4 linked regions of the Saccharomyces cerevisiae S288C genome follow. Changing the gene in region 2 together with the main gene of any one other region gives a genetic interaction. Each region holds a gene or a part of one and is shown on either strand. Other genes may lie near its edges. The genes, in order: TRS33, VPS45, IMH1 and CEX1.

Region 1 (2,902 bases), on a different chromosome or scaffold from region 2:
AAAATTACCTTTATGATTATATGAAAAGGTTTCAACAAATGTGCAAAGAATGCCGGTATGCTTGGAACGAAGAGGTTGACTATGACCAGAAACTAGAAATTAGAAAAAAATTACAGGTATGGAGGGCAAAATTTGAGGAAATGATGGATAACGAGATACAAATATTACAAAAAAACATGGATATCATGTCAAAGTTTGGTCTCAGAAGTGAGTCCTATCTTACAGCAGCGAATCACGATACAAATACACAACCAAATAATATTCTTCCCATGACGTACCTACTAAAAAAGAAATGACAATAGACTTTTAGGGCTTTAAGAAGAGTCCACGAAAGCACTTCACTATCATAAAGACTATATGTACCTTGATCAAAGAAATTATTGTCAAGATTTTATAGTAAGGGTATTATTTTGAAAACGGAGTCACCTGTTCTTTTATATACACACTTATATCTATCTATATGTCGATGTACATTCTTAGAACAAAAATCTGTCGGACCTTTACTGCGGCATTGTGACTTGAACATGGAAGCTAACTCCCTTGGGAAAAGCTGTTTTAGGCCTATCTGTTGGCCTGTCGATAAAAGACGCCAAGCAAATGACCTCTTCAGATGAATAACCTAAGGAAGACAACACGCCTCTAATAATTCCCACAGGTATCTCCAAAAACGGTTCTATCATTTTTAACTCCTCGTTTTTTGCATCTTCCTCCAAAGAAAATGATTGAATAGGTCGATAGTCATAATCAAGAAGGTAAAAGGTTCCTCTGTGGTTTGTTTTTAAATTATCGATCTGTTTACCAAATATTTGTTTCCAGACATCCCTACAAATGAACTTCATTATTAATAGAAGGTCCATTTCCTTGAATTTTAAATTTGGGTTGTTAGAAAATATCAATAACTCTGACAGCTTCAATCCGATTTGAAACCCAATATTCCTCAGTCTTGCTAAAACCTTTTCTTTTTCCTCTTCATCCGCCTTATACAGCTCATGTATCAAGTTATGAGAACGTATGATATCTACTGTATGATGTTCCTCTATCTTCAGTCTCTTTATCATATTGTTGATGTTACCATTTTCGGAAGTTACATTGCTATCAGAACTGATAACATCGCCTGATATTTGCCTCTCAATGCCCATAGCTAGAGGAACCATCTCGTTCAACAGCATCTGATACACAGATTGACTTACTTTTGGTAATGAATTCTCAAAAATTTGATATTGCTGTTGTGCTCTTTGTTGTTCCGTTAGTGGACCTTGTGGAGAAGATTGGGGATGTCCTACATTATTACTATGTGTAGAGGACATAATTGTTTATCTTCCAACTTTATAACCGGTGTATGTTTTCTTTTATGGCATGAGGTCTTCACTCTCAGCTTGTGAGTGCATACCAGATTCCAAAATATTTAGCATTTTTGGTCTCAAAACGTTGACGCGAGTTTTTGAAAACGATACGCTGGTTCTACTAATGTGAAGAAAGCAAATTTCTTATAAGTAAATTTTGTTTCATGGTTTTTATCATGTAGTTTTATATGTATAAATACGTTAAATGACTGTGGTAGAAAAATAATACAAATGCTATAAAAAAGTTTAAAAACGACTACTTTAGTTCGCTTTTAAAGCTGCCTCATTTGAGAGACTTTCAAATAGACATCGCTTAGGAACCAGATCCTTTTCAGATATATTAGTACCTTTAACAACTTTAAAGGAACCGGTACCGATCGACATCGTTTGACCCAAAATAATACATTCAGAAACACCTTCAACAGCGTCCTTTTTCATATAAAAGGCCGCATCGAATAAATGGTCAGTTGTCTTTTCGAAGGAGGCTAGCTGCAAAACAGAGTCCCTCATTTTACTCAAACCAAATCTTGTAATACCCAACACTTCACCCTTATATGTCATCACATCACCTAATAGTTGGATATGACGTGGATCGACACTCATACCGTGATTACTCATGGTATAGTTAATTTCTCTAATAATGCTATATCTTGCAGCTTCGATACCCAAAACGGAAAAGACTTCTAAAACATGGTTAGTTGTAGTTCTAGAACCAATGACACCATCTGTACACATCACATCTCGCAGGCCGTAACCTTCAACCAATAATTCCCTCTTGCCGTCATCGCGAATATTAATAACCGCACGAGAAATATCAGGTAAACCTTTAACAACAACATCAGGAAGCGCACGACGTAACTGTTGCATTCGGTAAAAAACATCATTCTCACTTGGTTCTTTCGCAGATGTAGATATCGATTTTGCTTTGTACCCTTCTGGGAATACGTTGATTGCAATTCGATCTTTACCAATAATATTGACATCAGAGGCTTGTATTTTCAATTTAGAAGCCCTGGTTATAGCAACCGCGATATCTTCTATGGTCAACTCCAATTGTAGTTTATCAATCGTACCTAAATCAATACGCACTTGAATGAAAGACAAGTTGTCTTTGTAAACATCTTGGACATAGAAAGCTACGTCAGATAGCAGTGTCTTTTCCACTCTACCTTTAACAACCCTAGCAGCCCTTTCATCGTTATCATTTACTAATACAGCATTTATAATAGGTGTAGAAATGACCTTGGAAGCATTGATAATTTCTTTGATACGAGGAACACCTAATGTAACATTCATGGAAGCCACACCTGCAAAATGAAAGGTCTTCAATGTCATTTGTGTACCTGGTTCACCAATGGATTGAGCACCAATAGCACCAATAGCAGTACCTGGCTCCAGTCTTGCCTTACGATATTTGAAAAGAGCAATTTCTAAAAACTTTCTCACCGATTTTTCACTGATTCTATAAAGTTGGCTTACAGATGTTTTAACATTATCAGGAACGGTTTCATCTGGATCAATACCTTGTAATTCTTTTGCAGGAGGTTCTAATAGGCCTA
Region 2 (8,843 bases):
GCATAGTAAATCTAAACCAAAAGATTGAACTGCCCCCAATCCAGGTCTTATTCGAGTCACTTAACCGAGAAAATGAAACAAAACCCCACTTCGAGGAACGCAGGTTATATCAACCTAATCCTTCATTTGTTCCTAGAACAAATATAGCAGTTGGTAGCCCAGTTAACCCGGTTCCAGTATCATCCCCTGTTTTTTTCATTGGTCCTTCTCCACAGAGAAGCATTCAGAATCACAACGCTATTATGACTCAAAACATACGTCAGTATCCAGTTATATATAATAATAACCGAGAAGTTATATCTACGGGTGAGAGAAATTACATAATAACTGTAGGGGGGCCTCCGGTAACTTCTTCGCAGCCCGAGTATGAGCATATCTCAACTCCCAATTTCTATCAAGAGCAGAGACTGGCACAACCTCATCCGGTAAATGAGAGTATGATGATAGGTGGTTATACAAATCCTCAGCCTATTAGCATTTCCCGAGGTAAAATGCTATCCGGCAACATAAGTACGAACTCGGTCCGCGGATCTAATAATGGATATTCCGCAAAAGAAAAAAAACATAAGGCACATGGTAAGAGGTCCAATTTACCAAAGGCCACCGTTTCAATTCTAAACAAATGGTTACATGAGCACGTAAACAACCCTTACCCAACCGTGCAGGAAAAAAGAGAACTGCTCGCGAAAACTGGTCTAACTAAACTTCAAATTTCCAATTGGTTCATTAATGCTAGGAGAAGAAAAATATTTTCTGGCCAGAATGACGCAAATAATTTCAGAAGAAAATTCAGTTCTTCTACAAATTTAGCTAAGTTCTGATTTTACTTTTTTCGGAATTACCTAAAATGGGTTTACGGCATAGAAGATAGATAGATTAAGAGGTAGGTTGACTTTTCCTTTGAAATTTGTAATTTTAATAAAAATTCCAAAAAAAAAAAAAAAAAATTCAAAGTAAAAAGACAAACTTTGGTGAGAATCTTCGATTAACAAAATTACTCCTTAATATTCTTAAATTGGAAAATGATCATGGTTATCAGTGTATTTTCTTTTACCGTGTATATCAAGTTTTATACCCCGTATAGCTTCAATATACGCACTTTTCTCAGATCTTTTTCTGCCGTCATTCCTTTCTTCCTTTTCTTTCAACTAGAAAAAGAAACGAAATCAGACCATATATCTAGTCGCCAAGCATTTTTCCCTTCTTGGATAGGAGGAGCAAAAGAAATACTAACAGTTATTAAAATGCACCATGCCCTCTGTACATCATAAACCCACTTACAGGCTTTTTTTTCATTCTCGATCAGAAGAGAAAAAAAGAAAAATATAACTCGGCAGGCTGTACAACCTTATTGTTCTGCGTAGTTTACCTGGTACATAAACTTCAATCAGGTGATTTTTTTTTTGATGCAACAGATTATTTTGTAGGTGTATTTGTTCATTATGTTTGTATCTCTGTAGGCTCATGGATAATAGAAATTCTTCTCCTGGTACGTATTGGAGTATACCATAGGAATCAAATGCTGCCCGTCCCAGGATACTTTTTTGGAGATATGACAGTCTGAAAGGTGCAGAATAAGGCAAGTTTCTGGCAAACAAAAAGTGATAACAGTCTAAGTGTCTTGAAAATTGTTGTTACTCTTGCCATTGCGTCAGAAGAAAGGTGAGTTTTACTTCTATCCTATAGCGCAAGAAGGTACTCAATAGATTACAGTTCTTGTTGCAAGTTGGAGTATCCCATTAATTCAGGCCATTCGCCACGTTTTAAAACGAAGTTATTAAAAAGAATATAATTTTGGAATTCGAAACTTAATAAATACATGATGCTAGGTACACAGAAGACATCATTATTTATCCCCCTGAATTATGAGTCCACACAAGAGAATCAACAACTCTACATAATACCATAATTATTTTGCCTTTCACTCTTCAGAAAGTCGTTCTTTGATTCTGTTGTATCATCTGTCCTTTTGTTTGGGCGTCCACTGAATTTAATGGCAGCTTAGCTTTAACTTCATCGAATGGTTTAATACTTCACATCATCTTCTGAAAATCGCATTAATGGATTATACTGTTATTTAATTAGCAGCTGAAATTTTTGCTTCAAAAAGAGTAACAGTTGCAAGCAATTCTCTCAAAAGCTAAGAAGCCTTTGAGCCTTGGAAAGCAATGTTCATCTAAAAACACAAGAAAACCCTCAAAAAGAGTTATTGTGTGCAATAACACTAAATGGACCACAGATACATTTTTGAAAATGATACAATCCGTTTTTGCTTATAAGTACACTGAAATAAAACCTACCTGAGCTGGCGGCGCTACAAACACTCAATGTTTCTAACATATGGAACAAAGAGAAGACAGCAAATTACCTTGCTATAACTGTCAAGACGTTTTGGTAATACATGCTACTTGAAAACCCTCAAGAGTCGCTACAAACTTGCCTTTCCTTAATAAATAAAGGCAAGCGTTATCTTCGTTTTCAATGAAGCGTCATATACATGATACTATTGGAATAAGAATTAGCTATCATCTATCGAATAGTGTTCATACCATTGACATATTGTTGTCGGAATGGAACTCTAAAATATCATCTGTTTATCGGCATTCGTGTTAGTAGTATATTATCACATGCGGTGTAAGAAGATGACATAAAAATTGAGAAACAGTCATCAAATATAATGGAAGCTGAAATGCAAGGATTGGTAATGTAATAGGATAATGAAACATAATGAACGGAAGGAGAAATAATCGTAATATTATTATGTAGAAATACCGATTCCATTTTGAGGATTTCCATATCCTCGAGAAGAACTTGTAGTAACATAATATTATAGTCTTTATCAACAACGCAATCTCAACAATTATCAAGATTCACCTAACATTCAAATATTATATATGATGTAAAAATATGATATAAGGATTGCGAAATATATTTCAGATTTAATGAAGGTGATATGCAAGTATTGATCATTTAGAAGAATAACTAGGGAATGAAAAAAGAGCTAATACTATTATTATATAAAAATACCGATTCCCCTTTTGCGGATTACTCTATCCATGAGGAGAATACCCTAGTATATTCTGCATGATTTTATAAACCAACTATTACAGTCTTTATAAAAATGAAGTTCCAAAAACTTCTCATATTGGCCTAATTTCTCGCGAATATGATTGGTTATACGGTGTAAAAGTTTTTCCATATAGTAATTTACCTTTGTAATGGAATTTTTCCAACAATTATTGTCCGATATAGTGTAACGGCTATCACATCACGCTTTCACCGTGGAGACCGGGGTTCGACTCCCCGTATCGGAGTTTTTTGTCGTAAGTTGAGAAAGTTTTTTCCAGTTAAGTTATTATGACGCATGCACATAGAAGGATCACCGAACAAAGTTGCAATTATTAGGCACCGAATGAAGAAAATGAGAACCTAATTTCGCTTGGCAATAGTAAAATGTTTTATCTGCATCGAAAAAGTTATATAGATTTATGCCTCATATATAAAATAGAATTTTAGAATAAGATAATCCTTATTTATTTTGCAGATCTAATAGAATCCATATATTCTTTAGTTGAAAGTATAGAGGTGCCTCCTAAAACCACCCTCATTCTGTTATTCATCGTTCCATTGAAATCATGGACTAGCCTTGCCTCCTCATAAGTTACACCGCCAATAACAAACAATATTACATCCTGAGGAATATCTTTGCTCTGCTGGTTTCCGATCACTCTATGGCCTTGAGTATCTATTTCTTTGAAACGATCCCTGAATAACGCATTTTTAGAGAGATCTGTTAGTAATGACGAAATTTCCGGAATATGTTGCATATAGACGTTTTCAGCGGTGTTGCTCTTAGAATTCATTCTACTATTAAATCTTCTTGCTAGTTCGGTTAATATATCGTCCTTGTCATGGTTACTTTGAGTCATTTTATCCTGGCGGCTAAAAAGCGATTTAAATTTATGGAAAAAGTTGACGTCCTCTGGAGGAAGTTGTTGAGACAGAATCTCAACTAGTTGACGGATTTTGTCTGAGCTGGTTTGATTGTTTAAAGAATAAATACATGCAAGCTTTAACTTGTAATACTTATCAACTGCTTCATTTTGTAGCAATTTAATCAAATCGGAGAAATCTTCTTCATTGGCATCGTGTGCTGATAGATTTTGTTCTATTTCACTAATTTCCCATATATTTTTTATCTTCAACTGTCTGTCTAATTCCCCCACTATAGCCATATGCTTTGCAACATTTCCAGATAATTTTCTAAACTCTGGATACTTCTCAATAAAGTTTTTAATATCCTCAATGGAATTTATTTGGCTGTTGGTTTGTGTCTTGTCTTTGTATGTAGTCACATATTGTTTTACTTTATCACCCAATTCACCAAAATTCAAATACATGGTATCCCTGAAGAAAGCATCTTGCTTTGATGATAAGGTGACCTTCTCCAGGTCTTTATCAATTCTAGGCACTTTCGATAAATCAACTATATTCCGCTTAATGCCTATATACTCATTGATCATTGATTGGTAGGTCCAAGGTTGAAGTAAAGGTGTTATAGGATCAGTATTACGATCTAAAATTAGTAACACAGGTGTCGAATCCATCACAGGAAAATCAAAAAAAGTTCTTTCGTTTTTACCAATCTCATAGGAAACTTCTTTAGCCAATCTTTCACAAATTTTACTTGCTCCTTCATACCTGATATCTGGTTTTATCTTTAAGGATAAAAGCACAGAAACTAAGCTGTTGGTACATTTTGTTAGCCCCCCTTCGCTCCAAACCAATTTATTACTTAAAAATTCTCTTGGTTGCAAATCAAACGAAAATAAATCTTGGTTTAATATAAAAAAGTCTTGGAATATTTCTTCCACCTTAGTAACAGCTTCCAAGTCGTCAGATTCAGCTAGCCGTTCTAATTGAGATTTAGAGACAATATTACTAAAGAATATTTGATACTCGCCGTACCGAGGATTTCTTAACTCACGCAGCAGATGTTGCAGTGTTTCCTCTGTGGGTTTAACGTAAACTAAGCACCTTAAATGCCTGGACACTTCACGTTGCTCATTTTCTATTCTTTCTACCAGATATATTTCATGCTTCAACAACTCACTTTGAGTGGCACATAAGGATATCGTAGGTGTGGTATTCTTATCCAACAGCAAAACCTTAATCCTTTGGTGTTCATTGACATTGGCTACGCTCAATTTCGATTGGGAAGTCACAATTTTGTTTATATAAAAGTCAGCCACATCAAAAAGGTTCATTTCTTTGTTCTATACAGTAAAAGATGGCCTTAACTCAAAACCAAGTCACTGTACCTCTTCACTCCTTAATGTTACTCTGGGTACATTGCATATGAGCCAAGGCACTTCTATAAGTAAGTTCGAACGTTAACTAACTGTAATGACGTTACCCTTTCCTGAAATTGGCAGAAACAAAAATGAACATTTCTGGCAACTTTTCGCCATACAGTCAGTACTCGTTACGGACGCCCGGGAAACAAGTAGGAAACATATGAGAGGCCAAACAAGGGTAAGACCTTCTTTTCTGGTAATAGATATTACTTCATCGCACAAAGAAGTCTAATTCTGGCGTGTGATGACAAAAAGGTTTAACAAGACCTGTTTCAAAATGTTTGCATATGTTGATTACAGTATATATAATAGTACACAAACACCGGTAACATTTTATAATTTTTTTGAATTTTTTGTATACTTTTCCAACCAGTGGTGCGCTGGTGGCTCTTGAGATTACGTGAAAGGCACTGCACCATATTATCCCTTTGAAGTTTCTGGAACTTTGAAATTATGGGCTCTTCCTTCTTCGTACACGCTGTTCAGTACTTTCTCAAAGATAGCTTTTTCTTTCAGGTGGAGATATTTTTTGTAAAGAATCAAGGCAGTATGGGCATCTTCAATTGAATCGTGATTTCCCTCTTGGATATTCATTCCTAACAACACATATGCCAGATAACGCAATGAAAGATATCTCTTTCCTTGTAGAAAATATATGGCAGTGTCGCGAATTTGGTTTCTTGGGACATTAATATTAATGTGTTTGAAGTCATTATTCAAACCATGACCAACAAATACGCATCCGAGCTGCATTAAAAGCCAGACTTTTCGATATACAACGTTTCTTCTCACAAGCCTTTTGGTACTCTTTTCAGGGTCCAAGTCACCAGGAAGAATCCCACTATATCTTGTCAAATAGTCTTCTATGTGGTTCGTGTTTACCACATAATCATCGACAAATGGTACTCCATACAGTTCTCCTTCTTCGCCTCTAATAATGGATATTCTGGCCAAAGCAGTTCTTTTAGGTCGAATAATACTTCTGATTCCTTGATGATCGATTTCACATAGTTCACTTTGTAATGAGACAAATTCGGCATCAATGGCAACCAAGGTTCCAGATTTAGGTGCCTCATCATGTGTTAATAACTTATATTCACGTCTTGCAGTATCTCTTATTCCGTTTGCGAAATAATCACGGAAAAGTATGTCATAGTTGATGGAATACGTATCAACAGAAAAGAAAGGTTTTCGTAATTCTTCCGCATCACAATATATGATAATTTCTGGTGTTTTCCAAGGGTATGTCATTTTAAGCGCCTCTTCCTCTGTTATCTCAACAACCAAATAATCATTAAACATGAGCCACTTGAAGCAATTCTCTTTTGGATTATATTTTTTGACATATGTTACTAGACGCGTCTCGTTATTGTTATCAGTGATTTTAGCCACGTAACCATTCAATTCGTATTTAAATATGTGGCTTGTGCCCTTCAATTCGGACGCCGTCGATCTTAGAACTGCCTTGTTTTTAATGATGCTTCCATAAAATTCACTAGTTAACCAGTTTTTCGACGACCTTATATTGGAAAATTCGGTATCTAATAGTGATAATTCTAATGACAACACTGAAGGTAAATTCTTGACAGTACACTCCTGGGTGATAGTTTCGGTTTTGCCGCAGGTTGGGCAAATACTGTTCTTTTGGGTTACATTTTTCATGGCATATTCAATATAAGGCAAAATATTCTGTCCATTGCTTTTCTTGTTCAATTGTTTGATTACGGTTTTGTTGATTCCTGATATTGATAAGGAGGGTAGAAGTTTGACGGTAGTGTCGTAGTGATCACAGCTACACTCTGTTCGTATTTCCGTTTCCAAACCAAAGCATTGATTTAGGGTGATATTATGGTTGACTGTCTGCGCTTCCTCTTTAATAAGTTGCGAGAGCAGGAATCTGTTAAATTTTTGAGGCATATTGCGTTTAATACTTTCAGAAGAATTAAAATCCTCGATACTTTCCCTTATGCACAGCGATTCTAAATACTCTTCTAAATGTTCTTGTGGTTCACCGTTTTCTAATTGTCTTTTATCAGTTAAGGATTTCAATGACGCCTGAAAATTGGAAGAACTACATATTTTTCCATGTGATCTTTCCATCATGTCAAAGAGGTAGCCTAGATCAGTTAGCAACGTTGTTTCAAAATTCTCGTCTTTCAAACACCCAACAACGAAATTAAACATTTCTGGAATAAAGCGATACAATTGTATGATAGCATTTGTGTAGTGATTATCAACATCTGGATCCAATCCTGAATACTCAGTGTTATTAAAGGGCGTAAAATCAAAATTATCAGTACCAAATCTACCTGATGTCAGTGGAAGTCTACTGTATGCAGGGGGTACTTCGTACTTGTTGATTGAGGTATATGTCTGTATATCGCTGGTTTCTAAACCGCTTGTTATCTGTTTCCTTATATCTCTTAGACAAACGTAATCTGGTATAGCATTTCTCATACCGTATTTGGTGCGATCATATCTTAACAAAGGAAATTCTTGTGTGCTCAACTTCTCATTTTGGCTCGAGATCACAGCAAGGTTACTTTTTAATTTGCCGCTCGATGGTAAGGGTGACTTACCTGTTAATTGCGGTATGGTACCTTCACTTTTAAACACTACAGGGGGCCATGCAGACAAAAGTTTATCAAGATAGTACGGCATCCCCACAGAACTCAATGGATATGTTTCATCGTCGACAGATATTGGGCCGTCAGAGGTAATGTCATTAAAATAATCAGGATATGCTAGCATTTCAGGGGTATTGGTAAACATTCCCATGTTGTTTGATGATCTTCTCCATGTATCTAGGTGATTATCAGCTTCTAGTATACCCAATACGTCACCATTGGGGGACAAACATAACTTTTTAATCGACTGGCAAGGATGAACATATTGTGTTCTTAAAGTTGGATTGGAAAGGTCGATGAAATCAAACGAACCAGAACTTGAGGCGACGATCATAACAGTAGGAAGCAAAGGATGTAATTGAACAAAATCTGCGCCTCCAGATCCCATAGTTGTTCCTTTAGAAAAGGAAACAGGAGGGAGTTGACGCATTGTTCTCAAGTCGTAAACATTCACAAATGGGTCAGCGTATAAGTTATAAAATCTTTTGGACTTCCCTACTGTAACCAAGGTGTTATCCCGTAAATCCATAGCGGATATGGATGCAGAGTGTGCATTAAATGATTTGATAGTACGATTCGATGTTGGATCTAGCAAATCCACAGTCCCTGTTTGTCTTCCGATAGACAAAACTTTATTATTAGAGCACATTAACTTCACTTTAGATGAGTAATTCAAGAGGGAATCTAAGCAACCTCTGTTCAAGTCAATGGACGCAATTCCCCAATTTGTGTTGTCACCACCACAGTAGATATTGTTTTTCAGTGAATGAGGAGAATAGCACATAGTGTTCAATTCGCTAAATGCAGCAATATCAATGCTAGTGAGGTTCAATTTAGTAACACCTCTTCTATTAGCAAA
Region 3 (9,767 bases), on a different chromosome or scaffold from region 2:
GAATTCTTGCCAAGTTTATCAAACGAAGAAATTGTAGCCCAAATTGAATGGTCAATTTGGGCTATGAATGCCACAGGCAAACATTTCCCCAAGTATTTTAGGCCTCCATACGGTGCAATTGATAATAGGGTTAGAGCTATAGTAAAACAGTTTGGCCTAACGGTTGTCTTGTGGGATCTCGATACTTTTGATTGGAAATTAATCACTAATGATGATTTCAGAACAGAGGAAGAAATACTTATGGACATAAATACTTGGAAGGGAAAACGGAAAGGTTTGATCTTAGAGCACGATGGTGCACGAAGAACAGTTGAGGTTGCTATTAAAATCAACGAACTTATTGGTAGTGACCAATTGACAATTGCAGAATGTATTGGTGATACAGACTACATCGAACGCTACGACTAGAAGTAAGATTTCCGAGAAATAAAGTTTCTCTCTATATATCTTTGATCTCTTATTTAATTATTCAACTCGCAAAAATAAAAAGAATATTTTGTTATTTCAAAAGTAAAAAAGTATGTATTAGAATAGAGGACATATATAAAAATCATATATATCGATGCTTGAATGTATAAGGAAAAGCGTCAAATTATGAACGGTAGGTACTTAGGATGCTGATGTCACATAAAGTCAGAGGGTATAACTTTAAAAAGTAATTTTTTAGAATCTTTTAGCGTCAAAACGTTACACGTACATTTGAACAGTGTTAAGAGTAGATTAATTCAAATTATACTTTTACGTGCTCCGATACAGTCTCTACCTCTTCGTTGTCAGTGCAAATAACAATTGGCTTATCATGAACTGTTCTTGGAGATGGAGAATATCCTTTCAGACTCGTAATATTGATGACGGTAGTTATTCTGCGACATTGAGTAGTACTAGCATCCCTTATAACCGGAATAGTTGTTGATGTAGGTGAACTTTTTGGGACATAACACTTGGCAGTTGTTTGCAAATTTTTTGTGATCATTGATATGTTTCTTAGTGACATTTTTGATGCTATTGTTTTTATAGTGTAATTGCTATGAGTTTATTTTGTTGACAAGTATACTTGGCTGTCTTTTTTATATAATAACGAAAATGTGTAGTGGAAAAGCAGGTGTGTTTTGTCTTATATCTTACAAACTATATAGGCTTATATAGTTTTTTTTCAAAGATTCTTATTACTGCACAAAAAAAAATAAGATCCCAAATTGAACATTAACATTAGTCATATTCAGGGATGGCTCATCACGAACAGCAAACTGAATAATTTTCTTGTCTGCGTTCCTTTTTTTGTGCACCAATGGATGTAGTATGCGCACCTGATGCGCATAATAGATTGCAATTACACTGACTACAACTTACGTATATGCGTTTTTATTACTTTTCTATTGCAACGGCCTAAAGGAATTCGATAAAAGAAAGAGTAGGCAAGATAAGCCTGAATTTGGCTTTCGGCTGTTATTTTTACTTCCGCTAAATTTTCTTTGTTCTTCCATTGTTTTTTTGCCTTTGTGTTCTCCATTAATCCATCCAATTTTAATGTCGGATTAATGGAACTTTCTATTAACCCATAAATGCCACATAGTACGGCTGTAGCAGTGAAGGTTACAAAAGGACGGGTAACACATGAGAAACATGCGTCAGGGAACAAACTAGATATTTGATTTTGTGACGCAACGCAAAAATTACTGGCTATTCTTTTGTAGTATTATCAAAATCCATTTAAAATATTCTCTCTCCTTCAGTAATCCTCTATTATTTATCAAAAACCCACAGTGGGTAAACAAACTGCAAAAGAGTTGTTATTATTTCTACGGATCGGCAATTGAAAATGAGAATACAACTAAATACAATTGATTTGCAATGTATTATTGCACTTTCCTGTCTGGGGCAATTTGTTCACGCGGAAGCTAATAGGGAAGATTTAAAGCAGATAGACTTTCAATTTCCTGTATTGGAAAGGGCAGCTACAAAAACGCCTTTTCCGGATTGGCTTAGTGCATTTACCGGGTTAAAAGAATGGCCTGGGTTAGATCCACCTTATATACCTTTAGATTTCATTGATTTCAGTCAAATTCCAGATTATAAGGAATATGATCAAAACCATTGCGACAGTGTTCCAAGGGACTCGTGCTCTTTCGATTGCCATCACTGCACCGAACACGATGATGTGTACACATGTTCCAAACTTTCCCAGACATTTGACGATGGTCCTTCTGCTTCCACTACTAAATTATTGGACCGGTTGAAGCATAATTCCACCTTCTTCAATTTAGGTGTCAATATAGTTCAACATCCAGATATCTATCAAAGAATGCAAAAGGAGGGACACTTAATCGGCTCACATACCTGGTCTCACGTATATTTGCCAAATGTATCGAATGAAAAAATTATAGCTCAAATTGAATGGTCCATCTGGGCGATGAATGCTACTGGCAACCATACCCCCAAATGGTTCAGACCTCCATATGGCGGAATAGATAATAGAGTAAGAGCAATAACAAGGCAATTTGGCTTACAAGCCGTCTTATGGGATCACGATACTTTTGATTGGAGCCTCCTTCTCAATGATTCTGTCATAACTGAACAAGAAATTCTTCAAAATGTAATAAACTGGAACAAGTCAGGAACCGGATTAATATTAGAACACGATTCAACGGAAAAAACTGTCGATCTTGCCATTAAAATAAATAAGTTGATAGGTGATGATCAATCAACAGTTTCTCATTGTGTCGGCGGAATTGATTACATAAAAGAATTCTTGTCCTAATTTTCAGGGAATTGAAGAAAATAAGGAAGAATTAAATTACAATTTAAAAAGAAATTGCTTTAGTATTTTATATATAGACATGCAGCAACTTCTTGATATATTTCAGGAAGAAAAAAACTGTTTCAATATATACGTATCTTCTGCTTTCAGCTACATTTTTACTTCAGAGACATAACCAGTCTTTTTTCATCAGTACTGTCCAGTTGTAACAACATAGAAATTACAGGAAGTAATTGGTTCCGTTGTTCCTTGTGCTCCAAAAATCCCAACAAAACATTTTTTATATATGCAATTTTTTCATTTTTCTCAGAGTCTAACTCCAATGAACTTGATGATCGTATCTTCTCTAATTTAGTTGGATTAGAGTTATTCGCTGGTGAGGAATCAATATTCGCGTTAGCTAGAGTACCGATAGAACCAGACCTACTAACTCTTCCTGACTTGTCACTGTATTGTCTTTCCTTTAAAGCATTCAATTGAGAGGACAATGAACGATAATTTTTTAGTAATCGATCAAATTTCTTGTTAAGTTCGTTATTTAAATTCAGAAGTTTCTCATTGGCAGACTGTAGCTCAAAATTCTTTTCATCAGCCTTAGACAATGAGAGTTTTAAATTAGATGTGATCTGTTCCAACTGATCGGAATCATCTGAAGTGGCTTGAGTCTTCCTTTTGATGTCATTGTTAACATGTTTCAATGCGTCAACCTCTGATTTTAGTCCCTCTTCACGAAGCTTTAAAGCGTGTATTTCCGATTTCAGCTCAGTTACTGTATGCTTCCACTCTTGTAATTCAGTGGCCTTTCTGGATGTTTGTAAGTCTAATTCTGCTTCCAATTTATTCTTTTCATCCGTTAAATAGGCCAATTTATTCTCCAACTCTTTTTGTTTGCTCGAATCATCTGTCTGACTGTCCGAAACTAACCTTCTCAATGTGTTAGCTTCTCTGGTTTTGTCTTGAACAATATTAGCATATTCATTTAGTTCATCTTCTAAAGATAAAATTTTTTTTGTAGATTCCTTCAACTTGACATTTAGTTCCTCACATTGTCTTTTGATAGAATCTATGTGTTCATTCGAATTACTTTTTACATTTTGCAAGGTATTGTATTTTTCTTGCAAAATATTCAATCTTTCCGATAATTTACCATTTTCTTTCAAATACTCCTCGTAGGAATTAGAATTCTTTGCGATATCATTATGCAGTGTCTCATTTTCCTTTTTTAATAAGTCTAATCTGTTAGAAATTTTAGCATGATCTTTTCTCAGCTGTTCTGTGGATTTTTCAGCCACGTCCTTTTGCTCACTAAATTGTTTAACTTGTTCCTCCAAGTAACTCACAGTTTTTTCCTTTTGTTTATAAGAGGTTCTTAAAGAAGTAAGCTCCTTTGTTATGTTTGATTTTTCGTAGGTAAGTTGAGATATCTCCTCATTTAATTTGGCTACCTTGTTCTGCGATGTAGTCTGCTCTTTCTCCTTTTCTGTACATAAATTCTTCAGATGCTCTACTTTCTTGCTCAATAACTCTATCTTACTTCTCAACTCAGTATTTTTAGCTTCGTAGGCCTCGATCATCGTTGCATTTTTATGGCGTAAATCATCGAGCTCCAGCTTAACGGTTTTCACTTCTTCATTTTGTTTACTCGAAGACTCTTTAATCTCATCTTTTGCGTCCACAAGCTCATTGCCTACAGTCCTCAGCATATCTCTCACCTCCTCTAGCTCCGAATTTTTTTCTTTCAATGACTTCTTGGTATCGATCAACTCGGTGTTAAGGGTTTCCAGCTCCTTTGCTGATTTTTCGAGCTGTGAGTTTTCCAATTCTTTAGCATCTTTTAGTTCTGCTTCTATATCTTCATACTTTTGCTTCCAATCTTCACAATCTTTATATTTTTCTTGTAATTCTTGCAAATTTTCTTTAAGCTTATCATATTCTTCAGTATTGATTGAGTTATCGACCGTTTCCTCTTCACTGATATCACCCGTAGTTATGCCTCCCTTATTTTTCTTTCCCTTGTTTCTATTCTTTTTCCTTCTGTTATTGTTTCCTACATTTTGATGAGATATCGCCTTCGGTAACTCCTTCATTTTTTTTTCCAATTCACTCAGCTTGCGCTCTTTCTCTTTTAAAGTAATATTTAGTTCTGCCAACTCTGAGGACTTTTCCTCCATTATAGTACTTTTCGAAGACAAATTTTGCTCCAATTCGGTTATCTTCATTCGACTGTCCTCGAGAGAATGGTTCTTTATAGCCAATTCTTCCTTCAGTTCGGATATAGATACTTCTTCTTTCTGTTTTTTGGCCTCCCTTTCTTCCTTTAGTATATTTTCCAGTGCAACTATTTTTTCTCTCAAACCTGAAACAGTATCATTTTTTTCTTTTTGTACAGTATCCAATTCTATGTTTAAAGCTTCCATTTTTTTTTTTAGATCGTCTATGTCATTTTTATAATTTTGCTCTTTTTTCAAAAATTCCTCTTCTTTATCCTTCAGAGTTTCACTAGAGGCGCTTTCTGGAATTTCCGAGTTCTGCTTAGTTAATCTCTTGATCTCATCATTCAATAGGTTATTTTTGTTGTTTAAATCCTGGAAAAAAGCTGGCAACGTATCCACTGCGTCGTCAATATTAGATATGGGTGTATTTTCCGCTAAAATCTTTTCAACAGCCTCTAACTTCTCTGACTTTAATTTTTCATTTTTGTATGCGGAGAGTAGCAAAGGGTATTTTTGTTCATATTTCTCAAATTTTCTTAATTTAGCTTGTATTTCTTTTGGCAAGCCACTCTTATCATCTTCGATTTGTTGTTCTGACGGGGTAGGGCTCATATCATCGGCTAAGCCCTTCGCTAATTCATCGGTAAGATTCTTACCAATTTGTGACAGCTGTTTGAACATTGAATCAGCAAATGTTTCCCTAAGTTAAAATCACCTCAAATGTAACTCCTGTTGCTTACTATTTGACGTTTCTGCTACATTTGGTTCTCTTATATTGCTGGATCTGAAAATCCGAACTATGAGAATGCGGGTAATAGCTTTTCATAGAATCACTAATTGATATTTTTTCAGGTAATAAGTTTCCTCTAATCGGGCATTTAAAATCTTGGATCGATAACTTAACTGGGTGTAATAAAATATATAAAGATATAAAATAGATATATATATATAAAACGAACTTTATCAAGAAGAACTGCAAATGAAGCGTACTCTCAAATCCTCGAAAACGAAAAACACTCCACCAGTACAGTATTATCACGAAGAATATTAAGTAAAAGCAGCCATCTTAAATAATAGAGTGTAGCAATCAAACATAAAGCTAAGGTTCTTCTTGATTAGCAAATTGTATAAACTTTTATCGAAATAACCTAGAAGGAGGTTTTTTCTTACCTAGCTTCAAAAAATTGCCATTTTTATCATCTGTAAATTCACTTAGGAATTTTGCAGTTTTTGTACCGCTAGCAGAAGAAGCATGCGTACTGCCTTTGGTGTTTCCTGATCTCGGTTCCACTTGCAGTGATAATTGATACTGCTTTTCAATGTGGGGGACATTTTCCAAAGACGCTTCTATAACGGTCTGAATATCATCCAATCGTTTCAGCTTGTAATGGAATCTTTTAAAGCTTATAATTTCCTCCACTATATTTGCGATTTTAGTCCTCTTGCTGAAGTTTATTATGTTGGTTGAATTGTGAAGAAAATCTGGGTTTCCGACAAACGTAAATGTTAAATCAGATAGGTATACACCAAAAAAGGGAACACATGCAACGTCCGTCACGGATCGCAACAGCTCTCTATACTTCACAAAATTTCTCTTGGAATCCATAAGGTTGTTTAGGTTCTTCAGAAGGTCCTTCGACTCAGTGGAAACTAAATCCCATGTCTTTTTCAGTCGGTAGATTGGGGAGGAATACAAAGCGGACACTATGGCAGTCATTGAAGAAAAATTATTCAACTCTTTACAATGCTGGGCAACGGTAACAAAATATTGCGTTAATTTTGAACGTGTCTTGACATCTGCCTGTTTTACAATGGTATGAGAAACAAAATTAGTTAGCGTATTAGCATTAGCTATAAATTTCGTAATGTTCGGAGAACCACCCATATTACAATACTTGGTACCCCATGCCCTATCCAAGCATTCAAACATAGTGATCCTGAGGTATAAGTCATGTTCAAGTACAGTCAATTGTGTGGCATATGTGTATGGGTCAATATCCAAGAGCTTCAATTTCTTCAATCTAAAAAACGCTGAAGAAGCAGAAGATGGTAAAGAAGACGAAGACATGTGTATCGGTGATTTATTGTCACGTTTAGTTGTCTGTACGACTGCCGATACCGAATCTTGTTGCTTAGGATCCACTGGTTCTTTCTCATTCTCATTTATCAGTTTTTCATTTATCTTTTGCAAAAGATCCTCTGCCCCCGGTATTTTCTCCGATACAACCATCTTGGCAAAATTTAGAATCAGTGGTATGCCAGGTTCATAATAATTTCTTGTCCAATACTGCGTCAAAAATGTTCTCATAATGTTGACCACACGGCATTTAATCGGGTTTGACTTTTTTTCTATCCAAATATTGTAATCATCGTAACTCAGCCCTTCAGGAGGATACAAGTTGTACCTGTAAATCAGGGCATAAAAAAACTCTCTTGTGGTTAATATACTTCTGAAAGTTATTAACATTGTAACATTGAAAGCCGCATCAACAAGTTCATGACTGGTTAAATGTTCAATCAGTGCCTCTTTTGTCCCGCCACGAATTTTTCCTCTTGAGTCATAGACAAGACTAGTTTCATAATCTGAAGTTAAAAACCATGGAAGGTTTTTCTCTATGTTCGCAGCTTTGCGTTCAATATAGTCCTCAGATCCTAATTCGTCATCGATGATAGCTTCATCATTTTCTGAATCGTCATCACTATAGTCCTCGGAATAAATATCAAACCATTTTTCTTGCTCACCTTTCAATAGTTCTGCAGTCAAATTATTCTTCATCATTCTTGCTGCGTAGTTCAGCAAATTTTCTCTTTCTTCAATCAATTGATCAACAATAATACACGCAAGATTAGAAATCTCGACATACTTTTCACAAGCATCTTTAAAATCGTCGGAGTTGTTTAAAAATTCAAGGTTATTGAACTCCACATCTTGACTCACCAATACGTGAAATAAGGAGAGTGCCAATTGTTCATTTTTTTTATGGAAGGGGCCCTTGACCAAAGGTGTATTAGAGATATTCTTGAAAGGTTCATGATGTCCGACAGGGAAATTGGACCTCATTGAGGAAAACAAATACGGGTCGTCTAAGGTCGTTTGTTGCGTTGTCATTATTAATCTGATGACGATGTCATGAAAAGCCTGCTTTATATCAAAAAACTCTGTTAGTACTGAGGAGACCGAAGACATGGCGTGAACTAAAAATTCCTCGCTTTCCAAATCCAACAAAATACTGGGTGTCTTAATCAGGTTTTTCAAATTGATGAAAATTGACAGATCTAAATTCTCCAGTATCTCCAATAGTAAAACATTCTGATTTATTTGTTCGTATGTGCTTGAATTTATTTCCAAATTCCTAATTCTGCTTTTGGGTTTACTTATAATTTTTAAGTGTTCACCTGTAGCATTATTTAATTTTTCAAAAATTTGCGAGGATTTCTTCTTCATTGTATTCAAAGTGTCTACAGTTAATGGATATTTTTTCTTCCTTTTTGAAACTCTTGCTCTTGAAAAGGTTCTGTTATGAGAAGGACGGTTGAAAGGTGTAAAAACTGAACCAGACGCGGCACTGCTTGCTTTTAAATCAATTTGGGAATTTGTTTCTGAATTAGCGCTATATCCTGACGCAGAGGCAATAGCATCTGCCATCTTTGGTGGAATCCTTGATATTGAGGAATTTTTGGACGACGAAGCGGTCACTTCATTAGATGTGACAGCTTTGTTCTTTGTCGCATTACCAAATTCATCCGTAATAAAAGTCGAAAATGGATTTGTCCAAGAACCACCGCTAAATGAACCTTTAAAAAATCTTGGGAGCAACTGTGGTAAAGTATTATCATCTGAGAAGACTGAGCTCTGTAACACAAAATAAAGTAACTGAACATGCCTTAAAAATTTCGAGAATTCCACATCAACCATTTCGTAAATCGATTTAGCTGACTTAAAATTTTTGTTGGACGGTGAAAAATCTTCCAAAGTAGAATTTTGTATTGAAGTCCTTGGTGTTACGACAGAATTAACACTATTTCTTGGACCTAAGACTGAGAAATTTTCCATATCGTTCTCATTGACTGTACTGAATGATGATCTCATTGGAGTCAATGTATCCGTTGTACTGGTACTTACATTACGTTTACCGGACAATGGAACTGAAACTAGATCATGTACACTATCTACTTCAATTTTACCATCATCCCCTTCCGTCCTAGAACAATTATTTTCCTGATTATCGTTATCCTTGTCATTCATAGTATCCATTTTTTTTCTGTGAAAAGCTGAATCGAAATATAAATGAGAATTGATACTTATCCTTGACAATGAAGAGATTAGACCTTTGAAAATCTTCTTAATCTCCTTGCTGCAACTTTTGGCTTTAATTTCATGTTGCATTAGCCTGCAGCCTAACTGTGTGAAGACTATTGAATCTGATATCAAATCAAAGTATTTCGTGAAATTGAGACGATTCTCTTTAAGGAACATCTTGTGAGCCGTTTTAGTATAATAAACTGTTAGGTCTTGTAATTCTGTCCACAATTTTATATCTCTTGAATAGTGATAAAAGATGTCACTCTTGGCCAGTATAGAAGAGCGACTTGGGGCAACTACCCTTGATTGAATATTCTGCGTTAAATCTGGAGCAGATAAAGAATTTAATGATGAAGGACCAGCCTCATTGAATTCGTTTTTGTTATTTTCGTTATTATTATCATCATCATTAATACTGTTATTATTTCCATCAGTTTCTTTTGAATCCTGTTTTTCCATTAGAAGGCTTGATCTATTTTGTTCACTTTCCGAT
Region 4 (5,385 bases), on a different chromosome or scaffold from region 2:
ACTATTGCTTGTGGTATCGGTAGAAGCAAGGCTATGGTCCTCTTGGTTTGGGATATTAGTACTGGTGGCGGAATTAATACTATTGTCGTTATTATCATTATTGTTGTCATTGTTGTTTTCATTGTTGTTGTTGTTGTTGTTGTTGTTATTGTTATTGCTACTGTCATTGCCATCATCATTGTCAACTTCATTACTTTTTCCTTTCATGTTATTGGTAACATTATCCGCGACAGGATCACCATTAGCTTTGTTGTTAACGGATAGTGAGTTTAATCTTGATTCAGGTATAAACGCATTTTGGCTGCTATGGTCCAAAGTACCTCTAACAAAAGAATTCCGCCTTTTGAATTGAAAATCGAAATCTTCAGGATTAAACTTCAAAGAATTATTTCTTGAACTCAAAAAGTACGGGTTCTGATTAGAATTACTGTTGTTTGTACCAGTATTAAAAAATGATTCATAATCTGCATTTGTGTTCATATTCCCACTATTATTGGTGCCATTGGACTGGCTTTTAGTAGTTGCTGCAGGTATTAACAGTGGAGGTCTCATAGAGTTTGATTCTCTTCTACTGCTAGGCTGGAACTGCGGTTGCTGTGACTGCTGCATACTGAAAAATTCAAAATCAGGCCCATCATTAGGTCCAAGATAAACAGAGTTTCTTTTTGAAGGTGGCTGCGAAGTATTATCATTTCTTGGTAAAAATTGATATTGAGAAGAACTTCCCGTTAATCCCGTCGAAAATGAAGGGGTCTTGAAGGGAGGCTGCTGGTGCGACTGCTGTTGTTGTTGTTGCTGCTGTTGCCGATGCTGATTTTGAAGCTGCTGTTGTTGTGGGAAGAGGTTGTTTACAATGGAAAAGCCGCGTCCGATTTGCGACAGGTCTGGCGGTTGATGTGTACTTGAAGTGGATAATCGTGGAAGATTGGAATAGGCGCCGCCAGAACTAGGTCCTCCTGTACTTGTTACTGGTACGTTATCAGATATGTTCAAGAATGAGTTGATAGAGGCGTCCGTGGAATATCGTGGCTGGTTGAAATTTGTATAATATGAAATCGACTCATTCCTTTGTTGTTGATGTTGCGGTTGAGAAGAAGCCGGTTGACTTTGATTAAGAATAGGAGTAGGGCCTTGCCCATGCTCCTGGTTTTGCTCCCCAGCTTCGCCTGATGATTGATTTTGGCTTTCATTTTGTCCCGCCTGCGTAGGGCCCATGAACTGTGCAGTTGGAGGAGGCATGGCTGGTAATTTTTCAATATCTGAATCTTTTGAAGTATATCGCTTGTGTAGCTGTTTTTGTCCCAATTAATTTCTCTGTGGGACCATCTATAGTACTACAAGGTTCCCTTTTCTGATGACTCTTCTTGCTTATGCTTCATTTCTACTGGAATTAAAGGGACCCTTCTTTTCCTCCACTTCTCAAAGAAGCGAAATCGCGGGGCACGGGCGTAATGTTTCTAAATAACGATTAACACTGAATATATCCTTCTACAATACGTAGGGCTATATAAGTCTTGGGATCACCAATTCGTATCCCAGGAGTCTGAATCCCCATCATCATCCCAGCCGTCAACATTTCCTTTCTTGGTTACCGAGCCGCGGATACTACTTATAGGCTTACTTCTTGCAGTTTTATTGGACAGTGACGATTTGGTGGTAACAGTAGAGTTACTAGCAATGTTTCTTGGTGCTAGGATCGTTGTTTTCTTCTTCTTGATAGAAAGCCTTGAGCTAGGAGCGATGGATTTTGCCAACGTTGAATTTTGTGGCCTTGTGTGTTTTTGAGGCACCTTTGATGGGCCGCTTTCATCTTGAATCCAGCCATCATCATTCAACTCATCATTCCAACTTTTATTAATTTTAATAGGTTTTCCGAATAATTTTGGGGTGCTTGCGGTTGTTACAGGGTTTGTTGTTTCATCGAAGGATTCTGTGGTACCATTTGTAATAAAGCCATCGGTATCGCTGAGGTCGTCCCATCCACTTCCATCCTGGGCGGAATCAATTTCGCTCTCGGTAATGTTACTTGGTGTTGTTGCTGAGGGAGAATTTAAACGTAAATTATTTAAAAATTGTGCGGCTAACAAATTGTCTTCTTTATTCATATCCTCTTCATCACAACCGTAATTCTCAAAATCAATATCTTTCACATCTTCCGAATCTGCAGTACTATCGTTTGTTTGAATAAGTTGGGCTTCTTTTTCCAATTTTTCCAGATATTCTTCGAACAGGATTTTGGCTCTGCCTCTTACTATGGGACTTTTATCTAATAAACCAGGGGCAATGACTGTTAAAATTTTGTTGGCGATTGTGTTCACATCAAACAGCTCAATCGACTTCTCAAGCCCATAAAGAGCAGCCAATCTTGGTTTTACTTGAGGATCTTTCAAAGATTTTGTGAACGCCGTAGCTAAAATATTCGAGCGATTACCAACTGACGTTGATAATATGGTTGAGATTTTACTTATTATGATGACTGTCCATGTTCGGATTTCAACGTCAGAATCAACCTGTGTTTTTGCGAGAAACCTCAGTAGCTCATTATTCAGTTGTCTCTCTGTTAAACATGACACAATGCATGGAATTGTCTTCAGTGTTTGTAATCTAAGAGTGGCATCAGAGTCGGTCAGACCTTGGATAAAATGTGGATATATCCTACTGGAGATCTCTGATTTGCTCAATGGACCTATTAATTTGGGTAGGTATATTAGTAAAAGAAATCTTACTTGCCTATCTGGCAGTTTAAAACTTTGGGTGATAAGGTCGTTGAAACCAACTGGAAAGGTGTTCGTTTCAGAAGTTAGGTCTAAAACAATCGCTAAGAATGGTACTAGTTTATGTGATGCGTTGAAGTTCATGCCTATAGGGCTGGCAGCACTACTGATGCTTTGTGTCATTAATAATTTTATAATTTCACAAAGCTCTGGAATAATAAAATTTTCTATCATTCCAGGCGTTAAATTACGGAAAATCTCTCTTGACTCTAAATACAAATTTTCCAAGTTTGACATCACAACCAATTTTCCCTGTGGGTCCTTTATATGCAACTCCCTCAATTCTTGATAAAAGTTTATCAAAGGATTAGAACGCCAAGTTTCTGTATTTTCTAGCCTTTTTCTGAAGTTTTCGATTGTTATCTTTCCATCTGAAATCATATTTACATTGACAATCCAATCTTTGGGCAGACAAGAAGGAGCCATAAGGCTCTTTATCAACAATCCTAACCCCATTGAATCAATTGTATTCGGATCTTCACAGGGCAACTGTGAGCCAATTATGTTGTAATATGACCTCGCTCTACTGGCAAATTCAAACGCACTTAATCCTTCTTTGCTTGAACAAAGTTCTAGCCCAAATAGTACCCACTCTCCCTTAATATTGATAAAAACAGAATCTTTAGAAAGCGTACCAAGGACAAAGTTTTTTAAAAATCCTAAAGTTGCCAATAATTGTGATATTCCTAATTCAACACCAAATTTGTTTTGAGATAAAGAGCCTAGATTATCCCAAGGAAATGGAACTACTCGTTCGGTAACAATAAATGTGGATTGGGGGTCGGAATCAAATGTCTCCAGCACCGTACAAAGTCCTGGAATCTTCAAAATTTTGCTCTTGTGTACAGCATTTAAAATTAAAGATTCATTTTCTGGAGATCTTTTTGCCTTAAAAACTGTTACTGGCAAGGAATCTGCCTTCCTTGTACCATCGAAACATTGCCAAAGGGCGGTTTCAGTGATTGCAGTTTCCTCTATGGTGTATGGGAACTGGAAATTCGAAATAGATTTGAAAATGCTGGAAAAATTCATCACTTACAGATACTTGTTCACCAATAAAAGCAACGATAGTAACAGTGTCAAACTCTCGACTAAATAACTTGACGATATTATTGTTTTTAAGATACTTATATTTAATATAATCATAATATAAACAGACAAAGAGAAAGGGCCTTTTTGAAGGTGAAAAAAATAGAAGATGTGCGCGAAAGCGTGAAATTCAAAATGCGTATTGCTTTAAACTTTCTTTACCATCAATCGAAAAACTGTCTCGTAGAATGTTAATAGCCGTGTTATTTAGCGCATGTATCTATTCACCAATGTGGCCTTTAATATCCGTTCCACTCATTCTTCTGGTGTTGCAAAGATTAACATAGTTAACTGAGCAACACCAAAGAAAACCTAAACGAAGGTTATATGGAATTAGCCTCAGCATAGAGTCCTTTGAACGTTTTATTGAGCGGTAAACCAACTACGTTATAGTAATCACCTTCAATTTTTTCAATTAGAATAGCACCTTGCCCTTGTATTTTAAATCCACCGCCAACCTCCAGCCCATCTCCGCTTTCTACATATTCTTCCAATATTCTCAAAGGTATTTTGTTATCAAAGTATACCTTGGTTTCATCTCGGAATGGTACCAATTCAAAGTTTTCTCTGCCGTACCATTTAATTAAAGTCACAGCGGTGACAACGTTAACTGGTTCATCATCTTCATAGCAAAACTTCATTAAAAACTTCTTTTGGACCTCTTTTGTTTTAGGCTTCTCGTAGATTCTCCCACTCTTATCTATAATAATTGTGTCTGCACATATGATAAGCTTAGGTTTATCAATTTCATTTGGGTTTTCATCTTCGTAATCTGTCAAAATCTCGATTATATTCTGCGCTTTATGCCAGCTAGTATCGCACACATATCCAATCGGATCGGTAGAATAATTCATTTTATCAAGATTCTCTTCAAAAGTAGAAACCATTGTTTTTAAATCGGTGATTCCCATTATATCGTGTAAAATTTCATACCTCCGTGGAGAGGTGCTGGCCAAAATGATATCATACTTAGAACATATAAACCCGATTACGTCGGGTGGCAGTTGACTATTTCCAGACATTACGTTTGGTGAATGTGCTCTTTTTTTGATGCGGTCAGATGTTCCTTTCTTGTGTTCAACTGGGTTATTTTGCCCTTACGTCTCTTCACGCTTTTCGTCTGGTAAAATACACGAAAGGTAATAAACAAGCAGATGCACCTGTGTTCTTTAAATAAGGTTGCTGCTGCTACAAAATACATATTACATAGGGCGGACATTGCTTAGCACTATCCTCTCTTTTATTCTATAAATCTTTTCTGATTGAACCTCTTCTTTATCTCCCGTGTGATCTCTACTTGTGTTAGTTGAATCCGGTAGTCCAACGTCTTCTTCTTGTATTTGTATGTTTGGGTCGTTGGCAGTCGATGAGCCTTTACTTTGACCAGCATTTGTTGTTTCATTCTCTTCAGTCGGTGATAGTAGACCGGCTGTCTTTTTATGTACATGTGCAGCATTTGGGAAAGCAAGCTCCGTGCCAACAAGTCTCTCCCAGCTTCCCTCATACAATCTATTTCCGATTC

What was found.
Region 1: mutations in VPS45 (region 2) and TRS33 together harm fitness more than expected from each alone (negative genetic interaction), as found in Saccharomyces cerevisiae (2 studies listed by BioGRID).
Region 3: mutations in VPS45 (region 2) and IMH1 together harm fitness more than expected from each alone (negative genetic interaction), as found in Saccharomyces cerevisiae (2 studies listed by BioGRID).
Region 4: mutations in VPS45 (region 2) and CEX1 together harm fitness more than expected from each alone (negative genetic interaction), as found in Saccharomyces cerevisiae (2 studies listed by BioGRID).

Annotation. Positions count from the first base shown.
Region 1 is NC_001147.6:538,159-541,060, forward strand, and holds TRS33 (Trs33p), read right to left. Parts: upstream 1,308-2,902; coding exon 501-1,307; downstream 1-500. Other genes in the region: mitochondrial HMG-box protein CIM1, read left to right, coding at 1-296; DNA-directed RNA polymerase III core subunit RPO31, read right to left, coding at 1,605-2,902.
Region 2 is NC_001139.9:325,341-334,183, forward strand, and holds VPS45 (Vps45p), read right to left. Parts: upstream 5,268-8,843; coding exon 3,534-5,267; downstream 1-3,533. Other genes in the region: TOS8 (Tos8p), read left to right, coding at 1-821; PAN2 (poly(A)-specific ribonuclease), read right to left, coding at 5,778-8,843. UniProt on the Saccharomyces cerevisiae protein: Essential for vacuolar protein sorting. Function in membrane traffic between the Golgi and the vacuole.
Region 3 is NC_001144.5:746,118-755,884, forward strand, and holds IMH1 (Imh1p), read right to left. Parts: upstream 5,653-9,767; coding exon 2,917-5,652; downstream 1-2,916. Other genes in the region: chitin deacetylase CDA1, read left to right, coding at 1-408; DPA10 (Dpa10p), read right to left, coding at 731-994; chitin deacetylase CDA2, read left to right, coding at 1,820-2,758; Ras family guanine nucleotide exchange factor CDC25, read right to left, coding at 6,107-9,767. UniProt on the Saccharomyces cerevisiae protein: Involved in vesicular transport between an endosomal compartment and the Golgi apparatus.
Region 4 is NC_001147.6:529,929-535,313, reverse strand, and holds CEX1 (COPI-interacting protein CEX1), read right to left. Parts: upstream 3,807-5,385; coding exon 1,521-3,806; downstream 1-1,520. Other genes in the region: AZF1 (Azf1p), read right to left, coding at 1-1,239; YOR111W (nucleotide diphosphatase), read right to left, coding at 4,187-4,885; transcription factor TFIIIC subunit TFC7, read right to left, coding at 5,066-5,385. UniProt on the Saccharomyces cerevisiae protein: Component of the nuclear tRNA export machinery that my collect tRNA from the nuclear tRNA export receptors of the aminoacylation-dependent export and may deliver aminoacylated tRNAs to the translation machinery pathway at the nuclear pore complex.